Lepisosteus oculatus: one gene and its partner. Each later gene encodes a partner of the first gene's protein in a complex. Links are inferred from orthologs where the notes say so. Each region holds a gene or a part of one and is shown in the gene's direction. Other genes may lie near its edges.

What was found.
Region 2: cyfip1 (region 1) and wasf2 share a complex: the UniProt entries of both Homo sapiens proteins name them as parts of the WAVE2 complex. The link is inferred for Lepisosteus oculatus from reciprocal best matches to the Homo sapiens genes CYFIP1 and WASF2.

What each region holds. Positions count from the first base shown.
Region 1 is NC_090710.1:22,086,638-22,094,284, forward strand, and holds the start of cyfip1 (cytoplasmic FMR1-interacting protein 1 homolog), read left to right. Parts: upstream 1-4,642; 5' UTR 4,643-4,889; intron 4,890-7,647. Other genes in the region: tubgcp5 (gamma-tubulin complex component 5), read left to right, coding at 353-478, 1,841-1,929, 2,430-2,530, 3,124-3,170. UniProt on the Homo sapiens protein: Component of the CYFIP1-EIF4E-FMR1 complex which binds to the mRNA cap and mediates translational repression. In the CYFIP1-EIF4E-FMR1 complex this subunit is an adapter between EIF4E and FMR1.
Region 2 is NC_090706.1:8,898,861-8,905,688, forward strand, and holds the start of wasf2 (actin-binding protein WASF2), read left to right. Parts: upstream 1-3,818; 5' UTR 3,819-3,978; intron 3,979-6,828. Other genes in the region: probable methyltransferase-like protein 24, read left to right, coding at 557-868. UniProt on the Homo sapiens protein: Downstream effector molecule involved in the transmission of signals from tyrosine kinase receptors and small GTPases to the actin cytoskeleton. Promotes formation of actin filaments. Part of the WAVE complex that regulates lamellipodia formation.

The sequences.
Region 1 (7,647 bases):
TTGGGCCTGCCAAATAACAAGAGCTACAGTTTCATGGAATGCAGAGACCATGTTGACCATGTTAATGTTAACTGTGGCACAAAGACTCTTGGCCTTCATTACAGATGATTTTTGTGCTCTGATTTTCAGTAGTCTTTTGTCTAGCCTTTGGGTGTAAAGACACGCTTTAACAGCTCAGTGGTGGAATGTATGGAACACCTTAACCCCACAAAAGGGGACGTTTTTGTCAAGTAACAAACAGGAGAACAACTGATACTTAAGTTTGAGCCAGCATCTTATTGTTCCTGTTTAGGTGCAGGAGTATTAAAATACTTTCTGTATGTTTTAAACAGCAGTATATTCTTTCTGTCAGATTTTGCACAGCACAGGCTTAGAGTTTCAGCACCAAGTGGAAGAGGCTAAAGACTTGGACCAGCTGATTAAAATCCATTACAGATACCTCTCCACCATTCACGACCGCTGTCTTCTCCGAGAGAAGGTAGGTCTTGCACTCTGTTAACTCACAACTACTAAGGGACACTGAATTTCCTTGAAGTCTACTGTGCTTTTTATGAAAGAGGAGGTGTAATTCAGATGCATGTTCTCCACTTGTCCATATTGCTCTTGAACTGTACTTTTCCATATATACTGTAGGTAAACCTATGGTTGTACTGGAGTCTGTCCCGAGAAAAGCAACCTGATACACCCCTGGACTCAAAACAACATCTTTACACAGACAGGCTGAAGGAACTGAACCTTTTCAGTGTTCAAAATCCTCAAAGACCCTGACAACCTCAACCCAGCAGGTTTCTCAAGAATGAACACTGAACCACAAACTAGAGGGGACAAGTAGAAACTATATGGAAGTGTTTTTAAAAACAAGAACAGGAGGCATGTCTTTATCCAATGGGTTGTAGCATTGTAGGATAAGCTACCTATCCCAAGTAGTTTAATGAGAACTTCAATGCTATTATTATATTTGGGGTTAATAAAGAATCGGCATTGATGAGTGCATTTCAAACCAAAATGAAAGAAAAATGTATACAATAATGAGTAAAACCTCCAATTTACTTCACAAAATAGCTGAATTTTCCAGGTATGCGCATCACCATGTTCTGCGATTCAGGACAAGGCAACAAAACTTCCGGTGAACTGAAGTGACCCCTATTACTTTGTACACGAGCAGGCTTGTGAATAAATCACTTTTAGTCCAATAGAAATATTGCTCTTGACTTTGAGACGGTTTTGCTGACAAATACTACTTACTTGTTAACTCTGCATGCAGATCAGGTTGGAACATTTCTGCAGTGAAATGTCCCCGTCACAACTTGTACTCATTCACTCGTACATCGCATTACATCAGTCATTATGGTGACTAGTGAGCAAGAAGGGCCACATCACGTCACAATACTTGTGAACTCTCGCTATTACCCCTGGTGAGACCAGAGATTTGTGATAAAATGGCGACTTCCAGTACTTTCACAAAGTTCACAATTTTGTGCTTATTTTGTGCTTATGTGTAAAATTGTTCTATAACATTTAATAATTTAAATACCGGTCTTAGAAATTGGGACTGCAATTTCCCTTTAAGCCTTTTTCATACATCCTGACTTCTTTCAAGAAATGGCTGGATGAGATCCTTACATGAGTTAACTACTGACTACCGAGTGGTATCTTCTCATCTGCAACCCGTCTTATGTTGCTTTGTGTCTTATTGTATTGTGACATGTAAAACACAGAAATGGTGGACTATAGAATCCATAGTTAAATGATTGTTGGAGCAAAAGACAAACGTAGCAATGACTACAATTTTCAGAAAAAAAGTAAAATAAACTTTTTTGCTTGGCAATGCGTTTTGCAGGTTAGTTTTGTGAAGGAGGCAATAATGAAGGTGCTGAATCTCGCCCTGATGTTCTCAGATCGGTGGCAGGCAGGCTTTGGTGCCTGGAAGTAAGTATTAAAACCCTTAATGAAACGCAAGCATGTATTGGTTTGATTTCTCAGTAAATAATACCATGTTAACTGGACATTTGTCTGTGTTTTCTATAATTAAAAACACCAGGATATTCTACTGTAGGCAAGGTGGTGGTTGTCCAAGATCAAACAGTGAAAGAAGCAAATAGTTGTCAAACTTGCCGGAAATAAATGATTGAGTTTGAGTTACTGAGCTAAAATACAGATATTTATGAGGTATTTTTAGACAGGAAGTATTTTGCTCTAAGAAAGGTTTTCCAAATTATATTTAATTTAGCTTAGAAATGCATTGGAACATCAGAACCATAAGAAACTGTTTCACATTTGTTTTAAATGAGTGTGTATACAGTATATGTGTGTTTTTTCTAACGAAGCCTTTTCAGAGAAACTACAAATGTGCAGTGAAATCTTTAGTTGTTAATATAACATTGATACTTTTTTTTTCAAATTAATCTTGGAACTCTTTGCATTTCTAGGATTGAGTCTATTGATAAGATGGAGTCAGATTTCAAGAACTGTCACATGTTCTTGGTAACTATACTCAACAAAGCTGTCTGCAGGGGCTCCTTTCCACACTGTGAGTCATACAGAAAGCGAATTAAATGTTTTATTGGCAATTCAGTTTCTGCTGTTTGTAAAGAGTGAATGAGCCAAAGTTAATCAGATGTTTCACTGGTCATATTCTGCTTTGTGATTAACTGGCAAAAGTTATCAATTAAAAGTTTAAAATTGTTTTTATCTGCAATGTATGATGTCTCTGAATTAGTTTTTGTCAACTGTATTATGTGATCACTGATAATGACAGGTACAGCATCTTCTAGTCTTAAACAGAAGCAGTGTATCAGTGATTAAAACAGTTTGTACCAAAATAATTAAAAGTAATGGAAAAGGGTTTCAGCTGTAGCATTAGTTAGTTCCACTATGTGCAAGCACTAAGGGTTGTTAGAGTATCTGCTCTATCCAGCCCTGTTGCTGAAGCCCCTTCTTCCAAGACAAAAAAAGGCTGCATGAGATCTTTGGATTGATTTGCTAATAACTATCAAACAGATAGATCTCAAGGCCACCTCTTGTTTGCAACTTATTCTTTTTATTGGTAAAAGAGCTAAGAAAAGCACAGCATTGTATGATTTTTGTGTTCTCTAATTTGGTTCTTCTCACTCCTCTTTTCAGTGGAGTCCTTGGCTCTGTCTCTGATGGCTGGCTTTGAGCAGTGTTGAGGATGAGCTACAGAAAGCTGTGAAGCTCCTTGCATCGCTTTGAGCCATTACAGATCCTCAAGAATCATGGAATGTCTGCAAGGCATTCTTTCACAATGCTTATTTTTTCTTTCGTGGCCATCTGGATTTCAAACATCAAAGTGCAAGGGAAGCCCTTTCCGACAACAGGCCTCTGACTTTATTTCTGCTTAGCAAATGCAACAAGGACAGACGTTTGCTACTGTTTCTTGTGCTCTTGGGAGAAAAAAGTGCTCAGTTGCTACTGGAGTATCTTAAATACCCTTCACCTCGGGTGCTCATATTGAGACACTGAAGGCAATAAGAAAACAGGGTACTGAAAATGTAAATATAGTTTTTTGCTGTCTTTGAGATGTGCTGTTTTTGCTCATAATTCACTATTTACAAAAGTGATTGTATAGCAGAGTGAATTAGACTTTTGTTTGCACAATAAATTCTGCTCTCTTAATAAAACCTGCACTGTTTTGAAGAGTCAAATTCTTGCACCTGTTTTTGTTTTTATGACAAGAAAGAACTTTGAGTTAATCTTCCCCTCATTTATTTTTTTCTTGTTATCTGTAAAATCCAAATTGGGGGAGAGAATATGAAGGGTATCCTGTGTTTTGTTGACCATATTAGGCAGCAGCTATGTCACCCTGCAGCTCACAGATGGTCAGGACCTGGATAACGGACATCCTGGGAAAAACTAAGGTTGCTGCTGGAACAGGTATTAGAGGGGCCCGTAGGGGGCGCTCACCCTGTGGTCTGTATGGGTCCTAATGCCCCAGTATAGTGATGGGGACTCTATATTGTAAAAAGGCACCGTCCTTCGGCTGAGACGTAAAACCGAGGATCTTGACTCTCTGCTGTCATTAAAAATCCCTGGGCGTTTCTTGAAAAGAGTAGGGGTGTGTTACCCTGGGGTCCTGGCCAAATTTCCCCCTGGTCTTTACCAGTCGTGGCCTCCTAATAATCACCATCACCTTGTTCTCCTCCCCAATGTTAGCTGGTGAGTGCTCACCATATTGGTGCACTATGGTTGCTGTTGCATCATCCAGGTGAAGCTGCACATTGGTGGTGGTGGAGGGGAGACAAATTAATTTATAACAATGAATTAATAACAAATGGAACTCTGCAGTGAAGGACCTGAAGAAATGAATCATATGGTTGATAATTTCATAGTTATTACTACTCTTCATAGGGTGTGTTTTATTTAGGTTTAAAATGGGATTTGATTCATTTTTTTAAAATTCAATTTTATCCTTAAAAACCGGATTTATTTAAAGACTTTAACGATTTGCCAGTTACTTGACTTGGGCGTATACCGGCCAGCCCATTTAATCTCAGGGCTGAGGGTGGGGGGGGGTTGTTTATTCATCGCCCTCTGGTGGTTCCCTGGCATCCTGAATCCGCAGCGCCCCCAAGCGGCACGACGCTGCAAAGCGCCGCGGCGGAGGGTTTCCTGTCCCACTTCTCCCTGAGAGTCGCAGACAGGAACTCCCAGCTCGGGCTCAGAGCCGAGGTTGGTGTCAGCTGCTGCAGGGATCCTCCGCAACAGGAAGACGGCCGCCCGGACCAAGCTAAAAGTTTCCAGAGAAAGGCCGAAGCGGAGGGAGGTGGCTCTCTTACAGACGGGTTTCGCAGCGCTCCGCTCCCGCTGAATGGGATTTCTGTCCTGAGCGCTCACCATTTCCCAGGAAAACAAGACTGGGTTACGCTTAGGTAGGAAAGTTTGTGTTGTTTCGCTTTGGGTGTTGCCTCTACCCCCCACATGCTGGGCTTTTTAACTTGCGCGCTGCGTGGATTTGTAAGCGGTTTTCTGCCTACGGGCTTTGGGTCGGATTCTGTAGACTTCGTTCTGGGCTGGTGGGCTGCCTGAGCGAGCCGTGCCCCCCCCGTCCAGCCCCGGTGGCGGCAGTGGGATCCTCCCGGGCCTGACCGCTGGGTCGCACCGCTTTGGGAAACTTCGTAGAGCCGGAGCCCCGCCTAGCCTAGCCTAGCCTAGCCTGCGCTGCTCGCGGAATCGCCAGGAAAAACCGCACGTCTTCCCCGGGATTCAGCCTCGGAATTGGGTAAACTGGAAGTTCAAGCCCCCCCCCCATCTTTCGAAGTGTTTCGAAAACTTTTCTTTCCGTGCTACAGCTGAGGCTCGAAACGTCTTCGAGAGACTTGCGTCGCTCCGGCTGCTCCGTGAGCCGAGGAACTTCTAACGCGATGGCAGAGCGACTATTTTAGTGTGGCATAAAAGTTTTTGTCGTAAGTTGTAATTGATACTCATGCTAGCTGCTTTACACCGTGCCTGCGCTTCCTGGGAGACTGCAATTAGAGAGTAGCATTTAGCTGTGTGATTTCAAGTTAATCGTTTTAGTATGGTTAACGCCTTGGACATCTTGCGTTTTTTTTTTTAAATTTGAGGTCTGAAAAGTTAATATCATGGTAAAGATATAGTTTTTGGTGCCTGGGTAACTACCTTGATGGTGGTGCGCTTCCTTTCAAAAATGCAGAATTAAGATTCATAGTACACGGAGGTCACATAGAAGTTTTATATTTGATACTGTAAATATGGAGCTGGTAGCCCAAACACGGGAGAAAAACCGTCGAACTCTGTACAGTTTCATGCGTTAATTGGTTAATAGATATTTCCTACCGACTATAAAAAACATTCCAGGTGGGGGAAAAAAAACAAACGAGCCTGGTTATCTACGTGTCCCTGCAGTCGTAAGAACAGTATTGAGAAAGCACCGCTGTGCTGACTTGCTTCAGACAGCAGCCCTGTGATTTAAAACTGCAGGGGAATGTGCCCTGATGAAATCCTTTCAAGAATACAGCCCGTAATGGATTGCGAGCTGCCTGCTTTTTAACTTCGTAATGCGAATATTCAGCTCGTTTTCAGATTTTTATTCCACTTGGGTCATGAAGGGGAACTATCGGTGTAAAGTTTTCTTACACCCTTTTGTGAAAGCTGTGGCAATGCATTAATATTACTAACTTTTATATGGCACTTAAAAAGTTATTTAAGTACCTTTTTATTTTAATTTTTCCCTGGTATTGTACCGGAGAACCGTTATTTTTTATCTAATGTTTTAAGGGTGCTGTGATAGCTTTGGATACGGGTTAGATCTGTACAATGCAATTTCCTGCTCGTTGGCTAGGAGGGTGTAATAATAGTGTTTCTAGAATTTATCTAGCATTATACCACAAATGATTTGTTGGGAGTTGATTTGCACCCAAAGTGGGTAATAGAGCCTTCTCACATCTCTCAAACTCGCTGCTTTAATCCGTCACGGACTCTGTGACTGTTGAGATTTTTATATCTCATTTAAACTTTTTTTTATTAAAGTAATGGCTGTATAATTCAGTTTTACATGGTCAGTTTTTTATGTGCCTTTCTTTTTTCAAAGTTCTATTTTATGTATTAAACATATGCTGTTCTATAGCGCTCGTCAATAAATTAGTACTAATATCACAGCTTCTAGTCTTTACATAGCTTCTGTCTGTATTTATGTTTTTTTTTTTGGTCTTTTCTAAAACACTTTGAACGTCCAGGCTGTGATTTGTGTGTTGTGGTAAATTATTTGTGTGTTGCGCACAAGGTAAAGAGCAGAGTTTGTGTCTGCTTTTGTGGTGTGCAGCTGCAGATAAGCAAAGATCTAGACCTGAAGGTCTCTCCATTGTTTTAATTTTTCCTTCCTTGGGAGTTGAGTTAAATAATGGTGTTTGTCTGTGTCTATAGCTGCTCCGTACGTTCACTGCTGCACCAGTGAGAAAGAAACCCCTGTGTGTGGGTGGTTCCAGCACAGTTTACAGTGTGACAGACATTCATTCTCACCTACACGCCCACTCGTGAGTGGGGGTTCTCTCAGACCAATTTCTTCGGCAGATTCTCCTTCACTTTTTTTTTTGATTTTACGGTGCATTTGGCTTTTGAGGAGTTTCACTTTTTTTATTTCTTTTGATTTTCGTCAGTGTTTTACACGTTTGCCTGGATTTCTGATCTGCGCTGCCTTTTTGTTCCGCCGCTGAAAAGGTGTTTTGGAGGAAGAAGGTTCCAGTTTTGGACAAGGGTAATTATACCTCTCTGATAGACCCACCCTGCTGTGTGGTAATGAGGGTTTCTTTGGTGAATAGGGTACTCATTTAATGAGTGAAGAATTCCAAGCGGGCATTTTCTTCTGCTATATCAAACCTGGCTGATCTCACAAGGGGGTGAGAGGTAATTACGCTGGTTAGGTACCTGGTGGTTTAAGCTTCTAGCACAAAAGAGGAAACATTTGTTAGAACACTTGCAAAAGAGATACTGAAGGTAAATTGACCACAACATTGCAAATTGCAGCATTTGAGTTCTGATTCAAACCAAGAAAGAGCGACTCTACCCCCGTAGGTTCTTTGTATAATAGGATTATTGCAGAGAACGTTCAGTACCGCTGGCATTTCAAATCAATTGAAAAACCGAACTAGTAAAAAAAATATCTGCATTGCC
Region 2 (6,828 bases), on another chromosome or scaffold:
TGGTTCAGTTCATGTCAGCAGCTTTTATGTGTCGTGCTTCATCTACGCAACACAGGTCAAAAAGAATATGCCCGATAAGTGTGCTGTGTATCAGCACAGAAATTCATCAGCTCCTTTCGCCCTTCCTGATGTTCAAAAGTCTCCCACCTGCTCTGCGCAAGGCCGCAAGCAGAGCACTCTCTCTGTAAGAATATCCCAGCATGAATGTTTTGTGTGGGATTTTAGGGCTCAGGGAGGTTATGGTCTTCACATCCTGCTCCCTGGGGCGAACAGAGACTCTGCATTTGTAAAGAAAGCCCAGGCTGGTGCAAAGACAGAATTCTGGCATTGCAGCAGAGAGACACTGTGTCTCCTAGAGGGTGCTGTTGTAGTGCAGTCTTCTTCAGCAACTTGTTGTGTATACCTGGAGACTAAGTGGAAGGTCAACCACTTTGTCATTGCTGTCCGAAAATATATATGTTCATCCTATTTTTCACATGTTTATTTCCTATCCACATGTGTGCTCTTTCCATCTCTTGCATCACATTCCTACGCTCTCTCTCTCTTTTCGGATCAGGTGGAGATTGTCCAAGCGGACCTGGAGAGCGCCGAGTGGAGGATTGTGGAGAGCTGGGTTCTGGATGGCACCCTCACGCAGATCCAGCAGCTGGTTCTGACAGTGCACTTACAGTGGGCCGGGTTTGAGGTGGGGGGCAGCGACGCAGAGGTTGTGCGGTTCTGGTACAGCCTGATGAAGGAGCTGCACACAAGCGGGTATCGCCTGCTGCACAGTGCCAGGGGGCCTGGCCAGGCCATACTGCACCATGCGCTGCCCAATGCCAGCAGCAGCTACATGCTGAGCTGGGTCAACACGAGGTGGAGCTATTAAGCACACGTTGTTCTCCAGCGCAGTGCTTCCTAATCCTGGTCTGGCAGGAACAGTGTCTTTGGAGTTTTCCTTCAAACAAGTTCTTACTCACAGGCTTTTTGGTTTAATTTAAAGTTATACTTGAGAAATGCAAAATGCATGTTTAGGGGCTGAAAAACAGCCAGAAACTTTGAATTAATCCTATTAGGAAGTCAAATAAAGGTTTGATTGCATGATTGCAAGAGCTTGCCTGGTGTTGGGCCACTGGGACCAGGACTGGGAACCCCTGCCATAGGCCTCTATGTGCTTTGGATAGATTTTGGGACATGTGATTTAACATGTAGATCAAGGGCTGCACCTCCGTCAAAATGCACATTGTCTCTCCAGAATGGTGAAGAGGCAACACTGACTGGAGTCAGTGCTGAGTGGATCAGTGAACCTTAATTTTGATTCGTGATTAATTAGCATATGATCAACAGCCACTTTTACATAATGGCAAAGAAAGAACCACAAAATAAACAATTAAAGTATTTAAATAAGAAATGCTACAACAACTAAAAGAACAATCAAAATCAATACTTTATTTTTACACATTATTTCAAATGGTTTTTAAAACAATTTACATACAGTCTATAAAAACGCTACAAATATTTGCACACAGGCATTTTCATTGCTTTATCACAACCATATCACAGTTCTATACTGCAGAATAGAAAACAATCTAAACATTTAGTGACTACCTACTGCTTATCTATTTTGTCATTGTACCAAAATCTGGTATTGCACTGTGAGAATAAAGGAACATACAAGGGTATATACTTATATGTTTTGCACAAGCTGGTGACCCCTGATTCAAAGTTTTAAGTGTTTAAGACCGGAAGTGAAACTGTTTCAAATTAGGAACTGTGAAGTAAATCGAAGGATACAGTCTCCTGTGTCATGTTTTAATAAAACTACTGGAAATATTGTAAAAGGGTACTATGGAGAAATATGGCTATATCCCATTCAAGCTGTTTTAATTTTCATATTTACATTTGGTGACAAGCACTCATGACGAGTGAAGGCGCTAAAGGCAATAGAAAGTTGACAACGTGGACACTAAGAATTTGTTCTGCTTCCAGGTTGTTCTCACTTCCGACCAGTGTATCCTAAACCTTAATATTGTGATATTTAGACAATGTAAAGCTTTGTTGCTTAAGTAATGTAATTGGAGATGTGTAATCTAGATGCCCTCTACTGGTAATAGATTAAAAAGGAAATGGGACTTGTTTTCTGGTACTGTAAACTCGGACAGGAATCCCCTGCTTAATGGAAGACATCGCTTGCCGTCGGGAAAAAAAAGCTCTAATTTTTTAAAACTTTGTGCGTTGTTGTTGTTTTTTTGTTGTTGTTGTTCTTTTCTGTCTTTGGCACCTTTTGTGTAAGTTTTTTTGTATATTACTTGGGAAATAAAAAAAAAACATGATTATAAAGTCTTAGCAAGATGTCCGTTCAGGGTTCAGTCTGCTGTCGCTTTAGTTTTTCTGAGGTTCCTCATGTTCGCCGAAGTCGACGTGGACGTGGGAGTCTTCCTCGGGGAAGGACCGCGAGGGAATAAAAATGTCCATGATCGCTGAAGCCTCTGAGGAGGAATAAACACTCATAAAGGAAACACGACAACGAGGAGGGAACACCCTAGCCTGCGAGCAGGGAGCACACAAACACACAACCCTTACGCGTTGCAGCACAGAGAAGCAAGCACAGTGTGAGACGTACAGTACTGTAGGAAGACACAAATCCCAAGCTAAACTAGAAACATAGGATTGATACAAACTTGTCTGCAAAAGCGTTACATTGTCTTCAAGCCTTTCGACCAGTGACACTCACTCCTGCGCCCAGGGGGCTGCAGTCACCCAGGTAATTACAGGTAACGCAAAATCATCAATGACTCAAGTCCTGGAAACAGTGAGAATGCGGAGCAATTTAGAGAAGAACTGATTCACATAAAATAATCTGAAGTCCAGAGTGGAATGACCTTTATCTTTTAAAACAATATTGTTCTGTGATTGAATTAGGGATTGATAAAATGACATTGTATAACATCCGAGTTCTTGTTTCATGCATTCTTGACACAGTAGACAAACTGTTCTGTAACAGTTTATTTTTTTGTTATTAATGTAAGTAGGATTTTTTGTTTACTAATTCTTGGACCATGAAACATCAGGTTTATTCCTCATATTATACAGCAGTACCATGTAATGGACTATGTGCACGAAAACCTCTTTTCAAGAACACACAATAAGGCCCTCCCAAATTAAACACGTCATCACGTGATTGATGGGTACAATTATTAAACAAAAAGCTGAATTAAAGATTCTTCTTAACATTTTTAAAAACGTTATAATATTGGGCAGGATAGCCAGTCAGTAAATCGCTGTTGTTCGTGAACAGCTGCAAAAGAGCACGGAGACAAGTAATGCTGATTTTAAAAGACGGTCTATCAGCCAAGACCGATTAAGTCACGTTTGCATTTGATTACAGTGATGCAAATATTACGTGACATCATTATAACACACTACGCAGGCATATACTGTAGGTTTCCGTGTCCCCGACGGGCACTCCCTCAGAAGTCGTTCATTGCGTCAGACCGGGCTGAGGAATGCACAACGCCTCCTCAGAAATACAGAACTCAGAGAAAACGCGATACAGGGCAACGATCTCCTCCCATTCAATGCTATTAACGCACGTCTTCGTGAACTGACCCCCAAAAAGCTAAATTACATGGACGCTTCAGTCCATCATTATCTTCCCCCGAATCCTCTTCGATCGAAGCCGGTAAAACCCTACAGATGTTTACTCCTCTCTCGGGTGGAGTTACGCATTTTACGTCCAAGTTTTCATGGTCCTCCTTGAACTGAAACTGACGTGAGTGAGAGCGAATCAATTCCCAGTATCCTCGCCGCGGTCCAATCACAAGTATGCGTAGGCGGGGCCTTGGCGTAGTTCTGCTTAATCGGTTTTACAGTTGAAGCAGCTATCAAATCTAGACATTTTCTTTTTAGGAAAACTTCAAGCGAGTTGAGATGATGGCTGGTAAAAGCCTTATGTGAGAGCAGAAAGGATCGTTTTCTCGGACCCTCTTTTCCTTTACGGTATGAGTGCTACGTTTTTAAATACTTTCTGGTATGGGGGAGTTATGAGTAAAAAGACAATGTTGCTTCGTGTCTGCAACATTGTGTCGGTAGTCTACTGTAGTTGCTTGAGTTTAATTATGGGTGGTTTCACTTTACTTCCTGCTAAATTGGGAGCCATGAAGTTGACAAGAAACCCTTCGAAAAAGTGTTTTTAGTGATCCGCGGGACGAAGAAAGACAATTCAGTGATGTGGAAAGAAAATAAAGTTGTTAAAATCCGGGATTACGTAGATCGTATGAAGTATCACTGACGATAAAACCACACATTTAATTTTCGCAGCTCACTGCGGCATCGAACTGCCTTATAAAAATGCGATTTACTTGCAGCGATTCGTTTTACTGATTGAGTTGAATGTTCTTTACGATATGTGAAACGTAAAAGAAAACTTTTCTGAAAGAAACGGTGTCTGAACTTTGAATGAGGCAATGGTTCAAAAAAGGAAACCGTGATAGGCCTTGATAACTATCCTGGAAGTGTTTAATAAGTAGACTTCACTTTAGTGGATACCTACGAAGCCCACTGTAGTGCGAGGTACAGGTGATTTATCCGTTACCTATGCACTATATTGTCATTAGGAATAATAATTTTATTTGTATTTTTTTTATTCGCTTTGAAATTTTTGGATACATCCCCCTTTACCTGACGAAGATAAATCCCAACACAGAAAATAGTCCGTTATAACGACCAAATTAGAAATTGATAAGTACTGCCTGGTAAACACAATTTGTGTTTTGCTCCGTTGAAGATTACAAAGCCTACTACAGTACTGGAGACTAATGGTTGATTACTCGAAAGGGGAAGGTTTATGAACAATTTCAATAGACATTGGCGTAAAACTCGTAATTCATGTGGGTTTTCTGAGAGTGAGGATAATCATTGTTCTTGTACACTCCGGGCCAGGGTTTAATAGTGATTAGAAACACAATAATCGAAAAGAAGACCGAAAAGCTAGCCTGACAATACCATGTGCTATTTAAGTAAGCGGATGAGTTGTTTTGACTTGCTGTGAAAAAGGATTAAATGCTTTTAAGACTAAACTATCCAGAACCCAAGCAGGGAAAGCTGCAATAATAACTAATACAAATTCTGAAGTGTTTTTGACAAGTAATTATAGATGTGATGTCTTACTGCTTTTACTACTGCAGAGGTCTCCAGTCCCATCCCTGTAATGCTGAAGCATCCTGTGGTTGTCACTCCTTCCCAGCTGTCACGATAATAAACCAATTGTTGGTGCAATTAGTCAATGCAAGTGTGATATTTACTTGCTAAATGTGGACTCCTGTAAACACATACTGGATTTCTCACAGGGGGGTTCTTTCAACCAAATATTTCTGGGACCCCCTAGCAGGAACGCTGAAACTCTGAGCAACCCTGCAGAGGATCCCCAGAAATCGAAGGAACTTTTCAATCCAAGCAGTGCCTAAAAATCAAAACTCTTCAGCACAGTACAGTGTTTGTCCACCGTCAACATATATCTGTGGATCTGCAGATCTATTTATTTTTATATAATGAATACCGGCCCTGGGCAGCCTGTTGCTGCTGTGGCCAGTATTGCCATGGGGCCCTGGGTTCGGGCCCTGGGGTGCTGTCCGTGTGAGTTTGTAGGTCCTCCGTGTCTTGGTGTGGGTATCCTCACACAGTCCAGAGACATGGTGTTTGGTCACCTGGCTCCTGGGAACAGTGGCTCTGGTAGGAGTGTGTGCATGTCTGTTTGGGGCTGTGTGTTCCCCGGGATGGACTGATGTCCCGTTCAGAGTGCGCCCTGCCTTGTGTCCGCTGCTTGTTGGGATAGGCACTCGCTCTCCCCTCGTGACCCTGAATTGCATGCAGCAATCAGAAAATAGCTAGTAGGACAATATTGGCATTATAATAAAATTGACACCTCCCATTCATTTTGTGTTTAGATATGCCAACATTTTCTTGAAAAGAGGTTATTGTGCACAGAGCCCATTGTGGGGTACTCCTATAGGATGTTACCTCTGAATAAAACTGTAGTAACATGGTTTATAGTTTATTATAGAACTAACTTTTCTATTTTTAAAATTTGTTGCTAAATGGTTAATCTTTTTTTATGTGCATGAAATGTCGATTCTTTGAATTTCTGTCCTGAAAATGGGTATGTGTATTAGAATAGATTGGCTGTGAAATGCAAGTGGCAGCTGTAGGCAGCCATCCTATGCTCATCTATGCAGCTTTATAATAATTTGGATAATTACAAGTTAAGGTCTGCTGTGGTGTTAGTGGGTTTTAGTAAAGATAGGTAAATATTTGCCGGCCCTAGTGATAGAAACACCAGTGACTAATCTGATCGACCTCGGGGAGCCACTAGACCAGCTTGAGCAGGATGTGACTTGTATTCCACCAGGTTTTGAAATTCTTGCAGCCCAGTCCTTTCCCATTCTTCCAGCAGGATTGCCTTGTCTTGAAGTGTGGGGCTGAACTGCACCTTTTCACAGGCTCCACCGGTTTTCAGCAAGACTGTGAGAAGGTGAACAAAGTCTGTCTTAATCTCCTCAAGCCAGCCAGGCAAATGCCTGAGACGAGCTCTTTCATTTGCCGGTAGATGGTACCTGATAGCATGAATCAATATGTTAATGTGGTACCCCACCTGATGTCACATATTTCTGTCTTTCCTAGTTTGTGTTTAGGAAGTTTCAATTTTAGGGTCCCAGCTAGGATGGCAAATGTTTAGCAGCTGGTTCTTCTCTGATTTCATTTTGGAAATGGCAGCATGTGTACATGGCTGATCTCCCACATTGTTTTCATTTTCCAGTTTTATATACAGTCTACAGGCCTCAGCATAGGCAG